Linked DNA regions of Macaca mulatta. The protein of the gene in region 2 interacts with the protein of the main gene of each other region in a pairwise test. Links are inferred from orthologs where the notes say so. Each region holds a gene or a part of one and is shown on either strand. Other genes may lie near its edges.

Region 1 (9,708 bases), on a different chromosome or scaffold from region 2:
ACTACTATAGCATTCAACAAGTCTCTGTCATTCAATCATTTGAACTTCCCCACATTCAAATACTCCAAGGCAGGCTGGGCACGGTGGCTCACGCCTGTAATCCCAGCACTTTAGGAGCCTGAGGCAGGCAGATCACTTGAGGCCAGGAGTTCGAGACCAGCCCAGCCAACATGGTGAAACCCTGTCTCTACTAAAAATACAAAAATTAGCCAGGCATGGTGGTGCGTGCCTGTAATCCCAGCTACTTGGGAGGCTGAGGTGGGAGAATCACTTGAACCTGGGTGGTGGAGGTTGCAGTGAGCCGAGATCACACCACTGCATTCCAGCCTGGGCAACAGAGCAAGACTCCGTCTCAGCAAACAAAACAAAACAAAGCAAAAAATAAAATTAAATAGTCCAAGGCCAGGCGCGGTGGCTCACACCTGTAATCCCAGCACTTTGGGAGGCCGAGGCAGGCAGATCACGAGGTCAGGAGATCGAGACCATCCTGGCTAACATGGTGAAACCCAATCTCTACTAAAAAATACAAAAATTAGCTGGGCGTAGTGGCGGGCGCCTGTAGTCCCAGCTACTCGGGAGGCTGAGGCAGGAGAATGGCGTGAACCCGGGAAGCGGAGCTTGCAGTGAGCTGAGATTGCGCCACTGCACTCTAGCCTGGGCATCAGGGTGAGACTCCATCTCAAAAAATAAAAATAAAAAAATAAAAATAAAGAGTCCAAAGCAAAAACTTGAGAATGGATAAAGACTCGAAAATAAGAGTCACTGGTAGAGACAGGGAAAATACTGGATATTATCTTTTTTTATATATACATATTCTAAATGCTACAGCTGTTGTTACCTTATTCTTCAGCAAGGGGTGATATTGGGGTCACATTCTCCAGAGGGCTGGCTGTGCTTCCAGCTGTAATCTGGACCAGTCTCCCCCAGTGCAAAGCCAGGCCTGCCTGGAGCCAAGATGGACCCAGGCCTAAAAGAACACATTCACTCCAGGGAACACAGAGGCCTTAGACTCAAGTCTCGGGCCCTCTTTGGCCCCCACTCAACCAGAGGAAAAAGGACCCTGCCTATATCCACAGGTCTCTGCTAGCACGGTGAGAAATAAAGCTCCAGGGACCCTGGAAGGAGGTAAGCAAGAGGACAAGGGTCACACTGCCTTATGCCACACGGTAACTCAGCATAATGTCCGCAGACAGCAGATATGTGATAAACAGTTCCTGAATGAATTGTGCCTATATTTTTTTTTTTTTTTGAGACGGAGTCTTGCTCTGTCGCCCAGGCTGGAGTGCAGTGGCCAGATCTCAACTCACTGCAAGCTCCGCCTCCCGGGTTCCCACCATTCTCCTGCCTCAGCCTCCCAAGTAGCTGGGACTACAGGCGCCGCCACCGCGCCCGGCTAATTTTTTGTATTTTTAGTAGAGACGGGGTTTCACGGTGTTAGCCAGGATGGTCTCGATCTCCTGACCTTGTGATCCGCCTGCCTCGGCCTCCCAAAGTGCTGGGATTACAGGCGTGAGCCACCGCGCCCAGCCAATTGTGCCTATATTTTTAAAGATGGGGTCTTCCTATGTTGCCCAGGATGGTCTTGAACTCTTGGGCTCAAGCAGTCCTCCCACCTCAGCCTCCCAAAGTGCTGGGATTACAGGCATGAACCATCATGCCTGGCCTAACTGTGCCTATTCTTAAAGAGACCACTTTGCCCTGGGGAAAATACATATGTAATACAATTAGAGAAGAGGAAAGAGTTACACTGTGTGATACAGATAGTAAGTGTCGGAGCTGCCACAGAGAGGGTGCCATTGCGGGGGTTGACCCCTTGAAGGATGGCATGGAGCTGGGACATTCTGGCACTGAGAGAGAGGGATACACTCTGACAGTGAGGACCAGGCAGAGGATGGGCGGGACAGGGTGGGGCTACAGAAGGCAGAAAAGGTCAGGTAGAGAAGACCGGCTCCAAGTGAGTGATAAAACTTAAGAGCTAGTGTGGGTTTTTGAGTCAAGGGTGACAGTCAAGAAGTGCTTCAGGATAATTTCTCTATTGGTGGTAGACAGGCATGGATAGAAGTAAGAAACCGGCAGAGAGGCCAGCCAGAGGGGTGGAGAAGTACCATCAGCAAGGCTGTGAGGAGATGCCCACCAGGACAGAGAGAGGTGACGAGCAGAGCGTGGAGAAAGGAAGAAGGGTGATAGAGGCATTTCTGAGACCTGAGGCCAGAAGCCTGCAGGGCTTGGAATTTTGAGCCAGAGCAAGCGGGGAGCAGTTGTGTCATTGCCAGAGAGTGGCAGTTACACAGGAAATGTTCTTGACAGACTGTTGCCCCCTGTACAGAATAACCCCTCTATGACACTCAAACCTTTCAGGTTTTTCTGGGCTCAATCTCTTTGATTCCTGCTTTGAAAATGTAGTTCTCAAAACCACACCATCTGGGCCAGGCACGGTGGCTCATGCCTGTAATCCCTGGACTTTGGGAAGCCAAGGTGGGCGGATCACGCCTCTACCAAAAAATACAAAAAATAGCCGGGCAAAGTGGTGCCTGCCCGTAGTCCCAGCTACTCGGGAGGCTGAGGCAGGAGAATTGCTTGAACCTGGGAGGCAGAGGCTGCAGTGAGCCAAGATTGCACCACTGCACTCCAGCCTGGGCGAAGGAGTGAGACCCTGTCTCAAAAAAAACAAAGAAACAAAAACAAAAAACACCTCCCTATCCTAACTCTCCTTGTCTCCCTGTCTCCTGTCTAGTATCCAAGAAACTCTGTTCTAACTGTCGTCAGATAAATGGGCGCAAGTACTGGTATAACATCGCCTCCCTAAGTCAGCACTCAGCTCAGAGACTAGGAGTAGAGCTCTGCTTTGCACCCCTCTGTTGAAATCCTGCTTCTGCCACTCACTAGCTGAGTGACTGAGACTGAGGATATGACCTTTCTGACCTCCATTTCCTCTCCTGTAAAGTGCTGATAATAATGACTTCTCTTACAATGTTAGCTAAGGATTATGTGACATATTCATTTGTGATGTAAATCAAAAGCTTAGCACAACGCCTGGCACATACTAAATGCTCAATAAATAAGGGCTATTATTATTGATGTGGCCCACATTTCCCTAGCTCCGGTTTGTGTTTTTTTTTTTTTTTTTTTTAGCAGTCAGATCTCAAGAATTGTACAATATGGCCAGGCGTGGTGGCTCACGCCTGAAATCCCAGCACTTTGGGAGGCCGAGGCGGGCAGATCACAAGGTCAGGAGTCCGAGACCAGTCTGGCCAATATGGTGAAACCCCGTCTCTACTAAAAATACAAAAATTAGCCAGGCGTGGTGGCAGGCACCCGTAATCCCAGCTACTTGGGAGGCTGAGGCAGGAGAATCACTTGAACTTGGGAGGCAGAGGTTGCAGTGAGCTAGATTGTGCCGCTGCACTCCAGCCTGGATGCAGAGCGAGGCTCTATCTCAAAAAAAAAAAAAAAAAATTGTGTAATACATGTGGTCAATAAAACCTCTTCGTTTTACAAAATGCACAGCCAAGCAAGCTCTTCCCTGTGGCAAACTTGTACACATAGTACACATAATTGTTTCTAACCCGTAGCTCAGAACTTTACATGGGCCTTTGGTAACCAGCATCTAGTTTATTTTCATCTGGCACTGCAGGCTGTTGAGGTTTTACATCTTGAGCAAGAATAACAGCCACCATTCAATGGGCACATACTCTGAGCTAAGCACTATGCTGCTTGCTGTTCATTTGCTCTGCCTCATTTAATCTTCACCCAACAACCCATTGAAGACCATATTATTAACCCAGTTATTTTGTTTGCTTGTTTGTTTTTGTTTTGAGACACAGTCTTAATTCTGTCACCCAGGCTGGAGTGCAATGGCATAATCTCAGCTCACTGCAACCTCCACCTCCCGGGTTCAAGTGAGTCTCCTGTCTCAGCCTCCCGAGTAGTTGGGACTACAGGCACGTGCCACCACACCCGGCTATTTTTTTATATTTTTAGTAGAGACAGGGTTTCACCATCCTTGCCAGGCTGGTCTTGAACTCTCGACCTTGTGATCTGCCCGCCTTGGCCTCCCAAAGTGCTGGGATTACAGGTGTGAGCCACTGCGCCTGGCCTTTTCCCAGTTTTATAGGAAACTTTGGCTCAGAGGTGTTAAATCACCTGTATAAGATCACAGAGCCAGTAAGTAGATCTGGGAGTTGAACCAACACAGACTCCAGGCATCACATTCATAACCGGTGTGCTAAATTAGATACAGGTACAAGGAGGTCAAACACTTTAGCTGACTGGCTAAAGAACCACCAAACCTTTTGATGCTACCAACTTAATTTGTGTGCATATGAGGGAGGCCCGTGGCTCAACACACACATTCTTTGGAGAGAGGATCATCTACAAGATTAATGAATTCAGGTAATTACTCATTCTATTTCCATCTTTCCTATCCTACTTTGTTCCTGCTCTGTCCCCTATACTTGTCACCATGCTGGCATGAAGGACATGCCCAAGAAATCCTTGTTGGTTGAATGAGTCATAGAGAATAAAAGAAAAGTAAAAGGAAGAAGGACCAGGGAGGGAAAGGGGATGGGTGGAAGGAAGGGAAAGAGCTAGGGTGAGAAAGGGGCAATAGTGAAAGAAGAAACAGGAAGAGGCTAGGAGATGGATGGGTATAGGAGCGACCTCCCCAGGCTCTCCTCCACAGACTGCCTCAAATGTACCCGTGAGAATCCCCAGGTTTCCCAGTACCCTTGTCCCCCAATAAATTATCCTGCCTTCACCTTTCACTTCAGGAGCTTCTCCCCAAGAGCTAAGGGCCGACTGAAGCCCACCCCTACCCCTGCCTGACCCCTTGCCCTGCACACCCTGAAGTGGGCTCTGGGCTCTGCCCTATTCTCAGAGCCTTCCCCAGCTTCCCGGCATGGCCTCAGAGCTCAGTGCTACCTTCCTGCCCCACTTCCTCTTCCTGCCTCCAAATTCCCTGGAGATGAAGCCATCCAGGCATTGACCCCTAGCCAGGCCACATCCATCACACCTCTGTCAGTTTCTCCAAGGCAAAATCTTAAAGCACCAAGCCTACTTCCTGCCCAGTCCATCTTCCCAGGAGCCCTAGGGAAAGGGGGAAACTGGCACCAGCTGTTCCTGACATCTTCGCCTTGGAGATGGCAAGTGAGGACAGAGGCCAGGATATGCAGCAGGAGTGGGGGGTGACTCAACTCAGGAATGTGTCACTAGGTAGAGGTTAGCAGGGAGTCAGGCCTGTGCCACACTCTGATAACTTCAGTGGAACTTTCAGAGTAAACATCTCCCTTTCTCTTTCTCTAGGGGAGGAGTTAGGCCTCCAACACCCTGCCATGGGGCTGGAATGGCCTCTGCCACCCCATCTGCTCAAGTTTCCAACTCCTGAGCCAGGCTTGGCTCCTCACAGCTGCGGAAAGGGCTGACGAGGTCATTACATTTCCTACCACTTCTTAGCAGTGGGTTCTGAGTGCCAGGCGGGTCTCTGCCATTGTGTCTCCTTTAACCTCGCAAGGACCCAACAAGGCAGGTATTACTGACCCCACTTCACAGATACGGAAAAGGAGGCTCAGGGAGGTTAAGTGACTCGCCCCGGGTCACAGAGCTGGGATCCCAGCCCGGAGTCCTCCAAAGTCGGTGCTCCTAACCGCTTCGCTTCAGGAGAATGGGGAGCCCGGGCCCCGCTCGCTCTGCGCGGTGCAGCCAGGACGGGGCTCAAGCATTTCCCTCCCAGGCAGCCCGCGGGGAGTGGAGGGTCCGCCCCATCCTGCTCCGGCCGTGGTCACCGCCTCGGGTCTGACCCGCATGGGCCCTAGGTTACGCCCCGGCCCGTGGACTTCGGACTCCTTTCTCCCACCCTCGCCACTCGCCCTCTGCCCGTCGCAGGGCTGGCCGGCCCCGCCCGGGCCCTCACCATCGCCGCTGCCGCCGACGCCTCGCCCGCTCCCGGCTTCTCTGCCGGCTGAGTGGCCGCAGTGCCAGCGGTCCCGGAGGAAGCGCAGGGGCGGGGCAGGGCGGGCCGCCGAGAGAGGGCGGGGGGCGCGCCTTCCGCGAGTGGCGACCGAAACTGAGTCAAATCGAAAGCGATGGGCCACAGCGACCCGGGTCCGTAGAGTCGCCTCCTCCCGGGCCCCAGGAGCCTGAATTCGGGTGACACCTCAGCTGGGTGAACGGGCACACCTCGGGGCCGGATCTGTGGAATGGGCACAGTGGAGTGAGCCCTGGAGTCTCCTAGGTCGGGTTTAGCTGAAGAGGCATCATTCATTCACTCAACAAACACCCTATGAGTGTCACGGTCAGGCACCACGCTAGGTCCTGGAGACACCATGAACAAGCCAGGTAGGGTCTTTGTCACCTTGGTGAGTGCATCTCACCCAGAATCAAAAACAGGCCCCCCCAAAGTTTTGAAACTAAAGACAAGTGGTGGTTACACAACATTCTGAATACATGTTTCTGATTTGTACACTTTAAAATAATAAACTGTATGTTATGTGACTTTCGCCTCTATTCAAAAAGAAAGCAGCCCCACATGGGCAAAGTACTAGCTCTAGCCTTTCTGTATGTCTCTCCTCACCATGAGGGCAAGTGCAGCTCTGTGCTGGCATGCACCTGCCATGCACCTGCTCCTCAGTCAGAAGATGGGGGAGGGTGGTGTGTCTGCTACCACTTCAGAGCCTTCCTGAGCCGAATCTACCCATCCTCTCCTCTCACTGCTGCAGAGAAACCACCAGCTACCTGTTCTCCACTACTCCAAGCTGCCTCAGACATCTTAAAATAAGGTCCCTCTTTTTTTTTTTTTTTAAGAGAGAGAGAGAGACAGGGTCTCACTATGTTGACCAGGCTGGTCTCGAACTCCTGGCCTCAAGCAGTTCTTCTGCCTCAGGCTTCCAAAGTGTTGGGATTACAAGTGTGAGCCACTGGGCCTAGTCCCTCAAATAAGGTATCTCTTGACCAACAGAGTTGAAAGTTTCCCTCTCTGGGGCTAAGCCTCTGTGAATACAGAAGTCCCAGACCAAGAGGGTTTCACAGACCCTCACCCCCCACCTTGGACAGCCTGGGTCCCAAGGCAGAAGCTTCACTTCAGTTCCTTACACCTTGAATCCAGGAGAGAAAGGATTAATATATGTAGCAAAGACTACCCCAAGGCCGGGCACGGTGGCTCCCACTTGTAATTCCAGCACTTTGGGAGGCCAAGGCAGTAGGATTGCTTGAACCCAGGAGTTTGAGACCAGCCTGGGCAACATAGTGAGACCATGTCTCTACTAAAAATACAAAAATTAGCCAGGTGTGGTAGCACACACCTGTGGTCCCAGCTACAAGGGAGGCTGAAGCAGGAAGATCTCTAAAGCCCAGGAGGTGGAGGTTACAGTAAGCCATGATCACACCACTGCACTCCAACCTGGGCAACAGAGTAAGATCCTATCCCTGAAAAAATAAAAATAAAAATCTCATAAGGGTCTTTTCTGACCTTTCCTCCTCCCTGCTTCAGAGCCTGATTCTTCCAGAGCCTGACTTGCCAATCTAGTCCCAAATCCTGACTCTCAACCCTTCCCCTTCCTCCTGACAACAGGTTGTTTCCAATGCTGGAAAACCTGTAGAGGAAACAGGAACAGAGATAGCAAGAACCCTCCCTGCAAACCAAGGCAGACTGGGCACTGGAAAAAGTAACAGTGATAGTGGAACCTGGTAGGGAGGAGGGGGGCCTGAAGACAGAAAGGCTCATTGTGCACGGAGGGGAAGGAGGGCCATTGGCCCTGTCCTGTGACACTGACTGACTATGCCCAGCCATGGGATGCGGAGGAGAGATGCTTGCCCCCTTGGGATAACTAAGACCCAGAGGCCTTGCTAAGTCCCAGAAGACAAGGACAGAGAAAAGACAAATAGAACATGAACATACAAAGCACAAGGAAAGGAACAGCAGTCCATTTCCTCCACCCCTCGGCTCTAGACTACACGGTCGTTGAAGAGAGATGGCTCTGGTGGAAGAGGCAGGAGGCCTTCAAGCAGCTCTTAAACACCCTGTCCGGGTAGGCTTCATGCCTCAGCTAACAATTCCAGAAGAACAGTACTACAGGGCCATGGCAGGACCCAATGGGAACACTTAAAAATCTTGCGTACCACCCCAAAATGCTATGAAGGTTTTGAATTTTCCATATGCCAAGACTCCCAGAAAATTCTTGTTCTTGAGACCTGTGACAATGAATGGAACCGGGAGGAATAAAGAAAGACATCTTTCTTCTCCAAACATACACTCTTTGCCCTTCAAACCACTTGGACCTCAAACGAGAGAATTTCAGCCAGAAGGTATCCTTGGGAAGAAAAGAAATAGAAAAGCCAAAGGCAAAATGGGAAGAGAGAAAGTGACTCACACATATAGGGATACTGAAAGGTCTTTATTGCCCACTGGCCACCAGCAGTTTCCCAGCCACATGCTGGGCCCTCTAGGTCTCTCCAGCCCACTCTAAGGACCCATGAAATGCATCCGCAGTCCAGCTCTCTTTTTTCTCTCCTTCTGGGGGACCAAGTTACCCTCTGGGGCATACAACACGGCAGGAGGGCCTCGGGAAGAGGGGTAGGAGGACCGAGCAGCATTCTCTGTAGAGGAGGACAGGAAAGGAGACCCTCTTGGCACCCATTTACAGAGGGTTGTCCCTGAAGAGAAGGGCAGGTGGGAGAGGTTCCCTATTACTTAAGAGAAGGCACCAGTGGCAAAGAGCACAATGAAGAGAATGATGATAAAAACAATCACGCAGATAAGGACAATCATCTTCACATTCTTCCACCAGAATTTCCGAGCCACCTTCTGCGATGTCGTCTTGAAGTGCTCAGACTGTTGAGGAAAAGGCAGAGTGAGTGACCCAGTGGCTCCTCCCACTGGAACAAGAGTATAAGTACAAGTACAACCCACAGGCCAAACTTTCTTGTTTTTGTTTTTTTGAGATGGAGTCTTGCTCTGTTGCCCAGGCAGTGGTTCGATCTTGGCTCAGTGCAGCCTCCACCTCCTGGGTTCAAGTGATTCTCCTGCCTCAGCCTCCTGACTAGCTGGGATTACAGGTGCCCACCACCACACCCAGCTAACTTTTGTATTTTTAGTAGAGATGAGATTTCACATGTTGGCCAGGCTGGTCTTGAACTCCTGACCTCAAGTAATCCGCCCTCCTGGGGTGGGATTACAGGTGTGAGCCACTGTGCCCGGCCTACAAGCCAGACATCTGTTTGTTTGTTTGTTTGTTTTCTTGAGACAGAGTTTCACTCTGCTGCCCAGGCTGGAATGCAGTGGCGCAATCTCAGTTCACTGCAACCTCCACCTTCCGGGTTCAAGCGATTCTCCTGCCTCAGCCTCCTGAGTAGCTGGGATTACAGGCGTGCACCACCATGTCCAGCTAATTTTTGTATCTTTAGTAGAGATGGGGTTTCACCATGTTGGCCAGGCTGATCTTGAACTCTTGACCTCAGGTGATCCACCTGCTTTGGCCTCCCAAAGTGCTGGGATTACAGGCATGAGCCACGGCGCCTGGCCTTGTTTGTTGGTTTTTTGAGACAGGGTCTCGCTCTGTCACCCAGTGCAGGCTGGAGTGCAGTGGCACAATCTTGGCTTACTGTAGCCTCCATCTCCAGGGCTCAAGCAATCCTCCCACTTCAGCCTCCCTAGTGCTGGGACTATAGGCACATGCCACCATGCCCAGCTCAAGCCATACATCTTAATAGTGACAC
Region 2 (9,869 bases):
GAACTTGAGAAAATACTGTTGAATCCATAGGGCTGGAAATCACCTAACTCAAACCCCTCAGTTTACAAATGAGGCAAAAGATATCCAAAAAGATTAAAAGCTTGCCTAAGGACACACTCTGAGCCTGCAGCAGAACAGGATTTAGGCCTCAATTCTCAGATTCAATTCTCAGTGCTCTTTCCTTTATTTCATGCTGCCCTGAGGCATGAACGTGATGGGGCACTCAAAACTGAGGCCAGAGCAAAATGCATGGGAAATACAACTGCATTTTGTTAGGAGTGTATAAAGTCAAACCCCTCTGTTTTTAACAATCAGTTTTACTAACATTAATACAATTAATTACACAAAAAAAGTAGAATTTTGTTCAGTTCTGGGTGCTGAACTTTAAAAAGGATACAGAAAAACTAAACATCACTTATAGGAAAGAAACGTAACCACTCTAAGCCGGGACTGCTAAGCCTGGAAAGAACTCTGGGTAACAAGGCTGCAGGGTTACCAGACAGAAGGAAGACCCGAAGGAACAGAACTAAAAGCAGGACCCCAGGACACAAACAGTTGGGATAAACAGGCAAAGACTTTTTAGTGGTAAAAATCGTGGAGCTGCTGGCATTTTCCATCATAGTCACAGAACATGGCCAAACAAGACAGGCATAAGGGGTTATCACAAACGGGTACACTAGGCCAAATGACCTTTAGGTCCCTTCTGGCCCTTAAGGCTTTGTGTTTATCTGGTCACTGCCTATCCTCCTTAAATTCCTGTTTATTTGACGTATTTGCCTGAATGCTGCAAAACCCTGTATGCACGCACAGGTACACACAATAACCCCACTACAACAACCAAATTCTAGTTTTTCCCCTCAAACTAGGATGCAAAAAATGCATGTTTAAATCTTTTGAATGACATGGCTAAAGCCATGACATGGCTAAAGGTGTGCTTTGCTTTGAGGTGTAAGAGATATACTACTCTGCAATTAATTTCTGCAGCTTTTTCCTGAAATAAAGATGTCAAAATTCAGGGTTATAATTTTTTTTTTTAAGTCTGTTATTTTAGGTGTATTTTTAGTTGGTATCAAATGCATCAAGATCAAAGTCTACAGCTTTTTCTTCTAATTAGAAACTTAAAAAATTCCAGGTTATTATTTTTTAAATTAAGTTAAACTCAGGTTTAGTTTCTTCCTTTCAAATTGCCTGAGTGTTAGATATATATTTACAAATTGTCTCTTTTTAACTGTTCTACTTTACTATAACGAATATACTTATTTTAAGTTTCTATTTAAAAATTTTCAAACATGTAGAAAAGCCTACAAAATTACGTAAAATGTCCCCCACATACTCATCACTAGACTCAACAATGAGTAACAATTTGCCTTATTTGCTTCCTCTGTTTTTGGAGGGGTTTAAGGATTTAGGTAAGACACCTTGACATTTCACCACTAAACATTTTAGTAGGCATCTCTAGTAAAATTAGCAAATGTAGTGTATTATAATTAATTTAATTAATTCTTTAATGTCACCTAATACCTAGTCCATATTCAAAATTTGACAGATATGGTATTGTTTGGTTTGCTACATGGCTTTGAAATTTACAAATCAGAAACAAGGCTTTAAATTTTTTATGAGCTAGATATGCAGTGAAAAGCATTGCTAAGAGTTACTCAATACAGTTTTTACAAATTGTGTTAGACGTGGCTTTTGCTTCAAAACGTTTATAAAGCTTTTCCAACTTCCAGATAAGCTGAAAAAAATCATAACCTCTATGTGGTCTTGTTAGCATTTCGCCGTATTGTGTGCAGAAATAGATTTTGTAAGATCACCTGTAAGCAAAGTGAAGACGTAACACTTCAACCCTAAATACTTCAGAAATTTATGACATGCCATTTTTTTAAACACAACTAAAATATATAAATCTGTGTTTTCTTTTAAAATTTTAATTCAGGAAAACTATGTTTGTTAGAATGCAAAACCTATTTTTTAAACAGTATGAATTGACTATAAGGATATTTTAAATGATATGGCTGCTTTCAATGATCTGAGAAAGATTTTAAATGGTCAGACTAATACAAATATTAACATTTTCAATGGCATGACATTTAGAAAACACTTTTTAATGTTCTGACTTAGAAATATATTTTTAGTTGGGTTTAGAAATCATTTTCAAAAAACTGTGAGTTAGGTAAATATATCTGTATATATCCTGACGTATCTATTTTTCCAAACTGTATACTTTAGCTATCCATTTTTAGTTCTTTTGCTTAGCTTAAATATTTTTTTTAAATTGCCTAACTTAGAAAATAATTTTCTAAAGTGGTTTGATTCAGAGAAGGACTTTTAAAAAGCTTCCTGTCTCAGATACTAAGTTTTTAAACCATCTGACTAAATGGGGGAAAAAAAAAACCCTCATGTTACCCAAAGGTTCAGGGTATTTTGAACCTTAATGATTAAAAATTGAAAAATAAACAATATGTTTTTCAATCAATTAAAACTGATACCTTAGAAATCTTAATATCAGTTTCAGTTGTTTTTGAGGCAGCACAAAAATCAAGTCATTTAAGGAACATGTAGTTCTTATTTAACATTACTGAAGTACCATTAAGGAATTGTATTCATCCAATTGCTACTCAATTTCTTGGCTTATTTTTTTCTTCAAAATTAGCGCTAGAATTAGCCCGTTTCTATGCTACCAGACATCTTTATATTTATTTCAATATAATGTCATTCCTTTCAGTTTATAAATGTAAAACCCTTCAACTTCTTAACTGAAATCTCACACACACTCTGTCCCTGTTTCTAGGCTTTTTGACCTGAGTTTACATGCTTTTATTCCTGAAACCGCTCATATGGCTTAAAATCACTTTTCTATCAGTTATATGGCCAAAGACATTCTCCACTTGTGACTTACAAAAAGGAGAAACTGTCTTTGTAGACATGATAATCATGACATATGGCAAAATTTTTCTGAAACATTTAGATAAAGTCACAAAGAAAAAAATGAACTGGCAATACAGTCCCTAGGAGGTGAAATAAATGCGGGGTTTCCAAAATTGCCTATCAAGTATAATCCCCAAGAATGTGGTCCTGGGATGGCTATAACCCGCCTGTTCCAACGCTGCTTCTATTCCAACCTAGCCTCCCTACAGCAGGTAGCCTGAACTACAGCCAATTTCATAACTTCACTTTTCAATTGAAGACATTACCGAGCTAACGATCACTGTCTGGTATAGATCATCTAGACTCGCCCCTTATTTAACAGAGCAGTAAACTGAGGCTCAGAAAGGGAAAAGTAGCCCCCATTAAAAACAAACCAGAAACAGTAATTTTTCCAGGACCACCCTTAAAAAACACTACTGCTAGGCTAACTAAAGGTTCTGGCTAATTTAAAAAAAAAAAAAAAAATGTTATTTTAGAGGGTTAATTTTCACATATACCTCCTCAGGCTTTTTTAAAAAGTTCGAATGGAGAGGAAAGCGTAATTTCCCGTCTGGGAAATGGAAAGTGAAGAGGCTAGCACCTCGAGTCTTAGAAACCCAAGCCCCCAGGAAGAACAGTGAAACAATTATTCATAGGGAACAAGGCCACACAAGGGCTGCGGGACCGTTAAAACGGGCAGAAAAACAAAACAAAACAAAACAACAACACAACTGCTTCCTCTTTAGGAGAGGGAGTCGTTCATTTGCAAGGATTTGGGTCCATGGTCCCGCGACCCAGCCATTAGGACCGAACTGAGGCTCACTATTGGGGGGAGGGGAGCTTCAAACAAAACGAAACAAAAAGGCTTCAGAAAGGCCCAATGCTTCCCAATGTTAGCGTTAAAACATATGTAAATTACAGGCGGCCTGTAGCGCAGTGACGCCAAGGCGGGGGATGCGCGGGGGGGGTGCTGCGGAAGTGAGGAGAAGACAAGGCAGAGGTGGAGCTGCGGCCTCACAGCACCGCTTTTTCCCCATCCAGGGTTACAGATGCCCCCTGATTCTAGCCAAGAGATCTTATTATCCTTAGTCTTATTATTCTTATCTTCTTTTATTAAACAGAGAGACAGACAGAGACAGACAAACAGGCAGAGCCGCAGTGCACACGGTCCGTGTGTCGGAGAGGCCGCCGGGAGACTCACCGCAGCAATGCTACGTGAATGCAGAGGGCTGGAGGTGGTGTGACTACTCACTTGCTCGGCTAACAGCTGCCGGTTTTGGATGGAATTATTCCGCAACAACAAGAAAGCGTCGGTTAAACGCCTGGTGGCCATGTCTCACCCTTTGTGACCCCCCTCTCAGGGGCCCCCCGCCCACTTATATTCCTGGTTTATTCACTTTCTTTCTCTTGACCCGGCCGGCCCACCCTTTCACAGAAGCTTCTCGACAAGGCCTCAGGCTTCAAGCCAAAAAGACGCAGCTGTGCCCTTCGCCAAAGCGTAGAGACCCCTCCCCAAATAACTACCTAGGCTTTCCAATTGTCTGACTCCCCCTACCCAGGACCGACTTCGATCTCTAAGCACTTGAATCCCCCCAATCCTTGCGTAGCGATCCAACGTTCCAGAGACCCCACCCCAATCCAACCTTGGATCTACAAGCGTCTAACTCGCCAATCCAGCTCTGGACTGGGAGGCCCTGAAGCCCCCTACTCCCTGAGACCCCCAAAGGTCTTTGCTCTCTACCCCTAACTTGGCTCGTAAGCGTCTAGGCCGTGCCCTGAGGTCTGGCTGTGACTCAGTTTCCCCACCAGAGGCCTGGCCTAGGCCCTCTTTGGACAACCGGAGCCAGGCCTGAGGCCTGGACTCCAGGGCGCCTGCAGCTCCCTTCTGGGGCCTTGTCTGAGCCTGCTGAGGCCCTGCCCGACCTCCTGACCCCTTCCTTTCCTGGGTGGCCTGGTCCTCCACTGCCAGCAGGCTGCTGGCCTGCAGGAGGACAGCAGGGCCTGCCTCCCCGGCCTTCTCACTCCTCTTCTCCGGCTCCCTCCATCCCCGGATCTGACTGCAGCTCAGCCCCGGGCCGTTTCCGTACTGTGGTCCCGGGTTCTGGCGTCCCCCCTGGCCCTCTTCCTGTCCGTCCCTCGCGAGTGCCCCCCTGCGACTCTCGCAAGCCTTGCTTGCAACGTTCCGGGCGCGGGAGCTCCCTGCACTCCTGCCCCGGGGCACGAGAGTGCTCCGCCCTCTCCCGGGGTGCTCCTGGGGCGCCCCGTTTCGCCTTCCCCAACTGGGTCTAGGCACTAGGAGCAGGCCAGCGAGCAGGCCCGAGCCTGGGGAGCGTGACCCCCAGGCTGCAAACCGCTGCCAGGGCCCTTGGTCCCTGCATTAGAGTGGAAGTTGCGCGGCAGGCAAATTTGGGCTCCCCGAGAGCCGAAGTTTTGGGCGCGGGGAGTTGGAGCGGGAGAGGAAAAGTTGGAGACGACTGCCTCTGCAGGCCGAGCACGCTCTACTGCAGGCGCTGGCGCTCGCTTTTTTTTTTTTTTTTTTTTTTTTTTTTTTTTTCCCACTCTGAAAAAAGATGTACCCGACAAACAACCAGGAGGAAAAAAAAGGAAAAAAAAAAAAAAAAAAAAAAAAGCGAAAGCTCCAGGCAGTCTGGCCGCGCAGCCGCCGGCAGTCGGGGGTCGTTGGGGGCGCCCGCCCTCCCCAGCTGCCGCTTTCTGTAGGTGGCACTACAGGGTCGTGGAATCTCAAGTGGAAAAGTTCCCCGAAAACTTTGACACCTCCTGCCCCCGTCCCCGCGAAAAATATCTCTGTTCCCCGCCTGGGCCCTGGCCCGGAGCACCCCGCGCCCCTGGCGTCCCGGGCCCGGTTTCTCGCCGTTGGCCAGGCCCGGGGCGCCCTAAGCACCCCGGCTTGCCGTCCCGGGCCAAGTCGGCGGGGTTCGTGCAGGGGCTCCTCGGGGCCGCGTCGGGCAGCAGCTGCCCGGGCCCGAGCACGGCGCCCAGAAACAGGCGGGCGCCCAGTGACGGAGGCTCTGGTCTGGCCCGGAGCCGCCCGGGAAGCCTGAGGCCAAGGGCCTGGCCCAGCGCTCGGCGGGAGCGGGTCGAGGGCGCAGAGCTGTGCTGCTGCGCCTTCCGGGCCCCCGGTCTGTCTAGGGCCGGCTTCCCCTTGCCGGGCGAGGGTGCGGGCCGGACTCCGGAGTGGGGTTCCAACAAAACACCTAGGCCCCAGAAGCGGCCCCCACGCGTCCTTTGTTTCTGCGTGGAACAAACTTTACACACGTGTGTTTTCCGAGGGTTTCCCGTGTGCTGAGCGCTTGCAAAGCGGAGTCGCGCCCGGGGAGACGCGAAGCCGGTGCCCGCGGCTCACCCAGGGACCCCGGCCGGACAGCGGCACCCGCGGGGCGCGTGCGGGACCCCCAGACGACCGGGGAAAACGCCGGTAACCGCCCCCCGCCGTGCTTTTTCTCTCACGGAGAACGTTCCCGCGCGTTCGTTGTGGAACTAAAAATTAATGTCAAACATATCCATTGAGGCAAATAACAAAATGCATACAACGAAACCCACATAAAATCGAGAGAGCCGCGAGCGGGGCTGGGCGAGTTCACTGTGAGAACCCGCCAGCTTCCGCTCTGCGCGGAGAGCAGGGCACTCGCCCGGGGACGCTTCGCTGCGGTGGAAGATTCGGGCGACAGGGGACCGGGTCGCCTCGCGGGCCGGGTTGGGGGCTGCAGGGGCGCGCTGACAGGCCATCCAAAGACAGAGGCCCTGGGGAGGGAAATTCGGGGAGCCTGTGTGCTTAGCGCGGTGCCCCAGGAAATATTTGCCCAATAAGGGAGAGTTCTGTCCTCACCCGCGGCAGATCCCCCCGCGAGCTCTGACCCCAGCAGCACGGCCAAGCCTCCCCCCTCGCCCCTTTAGGGGACAGTTATTTGTAAATAACAACTGAGCTGGTTGTCGGTAGGAGAATCAGATTAGAAACATGGTCCCCACTCTGTTCCTATCTCCCCAGCACTCATCACCTCGCAAAGCAGGGGGTCTTGTTTACTTTTCCTGGCGTTCTCCCCCAGGCTAGAACGTGATCTTCCTACGCAGGGACTGTGTTTTATTCATCTTTGTACCCACTGCCGTCTCATCTGGCTCGGAACAGGCTCCGGATAAATATTTTTTAAATATGTGCATGAATGAATGAGAGACCTGAGATTTAGTCCCCAAACTCTCTGACCTCCCTCGAGTGGCTTTAAGCCTTTAGAGCCCTTATCTGTTAAGAAAGAAAGAAAAAAATGTGGGTTTTTCGTAATCCTCGTAATCCGTGCCCTGTCTACTTCTCTGGGGTTATTGTGAAGATCAAATAAGATAAGTGAAAACTCTTTGTAAACTACCAGGTGCTGAGCAAATATTGTATAGGATGGTTATTCATTCATTCCCTCCGTTCAGGAAGCTTAACAGAATAATTCCTGGTCTTGTGTTTAAGCAGATGGTGGTCGCCTTTCCTGGTCAGTCTTAAATATTTATTACAGGACAATCTCATTCTTACATTTAGGAAATCAATCAAGCTTCCATTTCTTTGAGCGAAATGAACACTGCTTGCACACATAAATAACGGAAGAAAAACCCTCGCATTCCCAAAACAGCCACCCCAAGCAACTCAAGAGCCCAACAGCAGGGAGGTCATGAAAATCCAAGAAATTGGCATAACAGCCCAAAGGTAGCACCGTGCAGCTCTAACCAGGCTGTGTTTAGGTATGGGATTGTGTGCCTGAAATAGTGTTAATGAAGAGGAAACCCAGAGAGGACATGCACTCCTGGCTCCAGTCACGTCCATGGTCCGTGTTCGCCCTGACCCACACTGGAAGGGAGTTGGGGAAGGATGTAAATCATTATGTTTGAATGTTCGTTGGCTGTTTTATTTTCCTGTCAAGTAACTTAAGCTTGATTTTTTGTTTTTGTTTTTTTTTAAAGCATTCCCCGATGGCCAAGTATGTGTTTCCTTGGAATTGAAATCTAGGTTGATGGTTTTACATTTTAAAAGCTTTCATTGTGACTCATTCTTGGCCTGGGCTCAGATTCCGTCATACTCCTTGGGCTTGGTGAGGCTCAGCGTCCTGTTTCTTGGGCTTCATACCCACTTTCTAACATTCTGCCAACGAATCCAATAAGTCACTTTTGGGGACAAGTGTTTCATTGTTGTCATCTCATTCAGTACAGAAGGGAACCCCAGTGAAGCCAGGCCATGACTTGGGCAGGAGCAGGTTTTCAAGTACTGAGAGGGGATGGTTAGCACAACAGGTCAGCAGTGGGACACACACCTTTGGTGAAAACAATTTAAATGAAATAGGATTTGTGAAGCCCTTATGCAACCTCAGCATAGAGTAAGTGCTCCACAAATGGGCAATGTGATTTATCACAACAGTAGTCTTGCTGTTGGAAAGCTCACGTGGGCTCTGCTCTCCCTGGAAGGCATCATAAACTCCAAAGAGAATGGCATGATATTGAGAACTGAACACTTGGAAATCTAAGCACATTTCTGAGCTTCTTGTTCTGGACCTTGGGAATCCAGATGTGTCTGTGGTGCACGCTCATGTGGAAGAGGGTGCTAAACAGTCTCAAAGACACCTTTTAACATTGGCCTTTCTCCCACCTATAGAAAGACAGATGATTGTTTGTTTATCAAGCAGCAAAAGCCCCCAAGCCTAACACATGTCTTGTCTGCACAGATCTAACAGACAGATACGGGCCAGGTTCAGGTAACAGGAGTTGTGTGTTCTACGTCTCCAAACGGTTCCTCAAAACCTTGAGTATTTCCAACAACAGAAAACTCCCTACCTGGGTCTGTCTTCAGCTATGATGCCTCTCCCAAGAAGGGAGACTCCGGAGAGAGGCAACAGTTTTGTTTTGTCTGGAGTCCCGTAACTTTTAGTACCAGACAATTCAATACAGTAGGCATTTCTAAAAATCTACCAGTGGCTGTGCCTAGCTCTTGCTGGGCACTGCTAAAAGAATGAAACAGAGCAAAACTTTTGCTTTCAGGGAATTTGTATCTCCACTGTCTCTGCCCAAATTCTGGCTCTCATCTTGTACATTTTTCCAGCAGTCTGCTAGCAGCCACCCGTCTCTTCCCTCCTCATCCTGCAGCCACAGTGACCTTTCCAAAGCACAAATCTGATCATGTCACTGCCTGATTGAGGCCCTGAAACAGCTCCCTCTGGCCTATGCCAGTCAATCCAAATGACACTCAGCAGAAAACAGGTGCTGTCTAAGTTGAACCAAGCTGGGCATCACTAATATTAACTAATGATGGTGTTTACTTGGTTGTCAGAAAAAGAAAAAAAAGAAGCAGCAGCTAATTAATAGAATAGTCTCCATCTTAAGTGTTTCTCTTCTCACTTTCTCTTAAACCTTCAGTTCCTGCTACCACTTGGCTGTATTAGAATATAGTATAAGACTAGATCTGACTTATTCCAGAATCATGGATTTCATTACAATTTTTTCCCCCATATATCAGTATTTTCTGGAGTTCTGCATTTAGGTTTTCTATGCTCTCCACATGGTGGAGTACCCCTGGGTATTCAAAGCCCTGCCCAACAGGCCCCACCCAAATGGTGAGCTTTTTTCTTTCCAGGACTTGGCTCACAGACCTTTCTCTGCCTGGTGGGGGTAGTGGCGGGGGATGTGTCTTGCCCCTTGTGCTTGGTAAACCCTTCCTTCAAGACTTAGCGCCTCCCCACTGTCAGGTGTGATAAATGTTTGCGGAATGGATGAATGGATGGCTTGATGCACAAAAGGTGAGATTAAATATATTAAGTGCTAGAGAATACCAGATGGTCAAGACTCAAAATGGGTGGAGAGATTAGGGCAGTTCCCTGTCCCCCTCACTCACCCCTTTTCAGCCACACTAGCCTTCTCACTATTCCTCACTCCTCCTTAGCACCTGCTCTGCTCTCCTTCCTGGCTTCTTCAAATAACTG

The links.
Region 1: the proteins of STX16 (region 2) and VAMP5 interact in binary tests that used the Homo sapiens proteins (3 or more experiments, as listed by UniProt). The two-hybrid records come from large-scale screens. The link is inferred for Macaca mulatta from reciprocal best matches to the Homo sapiens genes STX16 and VAMP5.

Annotation. Positions count from the first base shown.
Region 1 is NC_133418.1:38,804,229-38,813,936, forward strand, and holds the start of VAMP5 (vesicle-associated membrane protein 5), read right to left. Parts: upstream 5,983-9,708; 5' UTR 5,912-5,982; coding exon 5,909-5,911; intron 1-5,908. Other genes in the region: VAMP8 (vesicle-associated membrane protein 8), read right to left, coding at 8,684-8,824. UniProt on the Homo sapiens protein: May participate in trafficking events that are associated with myogenesis, such as myoblast fusion and/or GLUT4 trafficking.
Region 2 is NC_133415.1:111,439,518-111,449,386, reverse strand, and holds the start of STX16 (syntaxin-16), read right to left. Parts: upstream 4,978-9,869; 5' UTR 4,241-4,977; coding exon 4,160-4,240; coding exon of another isoform or gene 4,097-4,159; exon of another isoform or gene 4,029-4,096; intron 1-4,028. UniProt on the Homo sapiens protein: SNARE involved in vesicular transport from the late endosomes to the trans-Golgi network.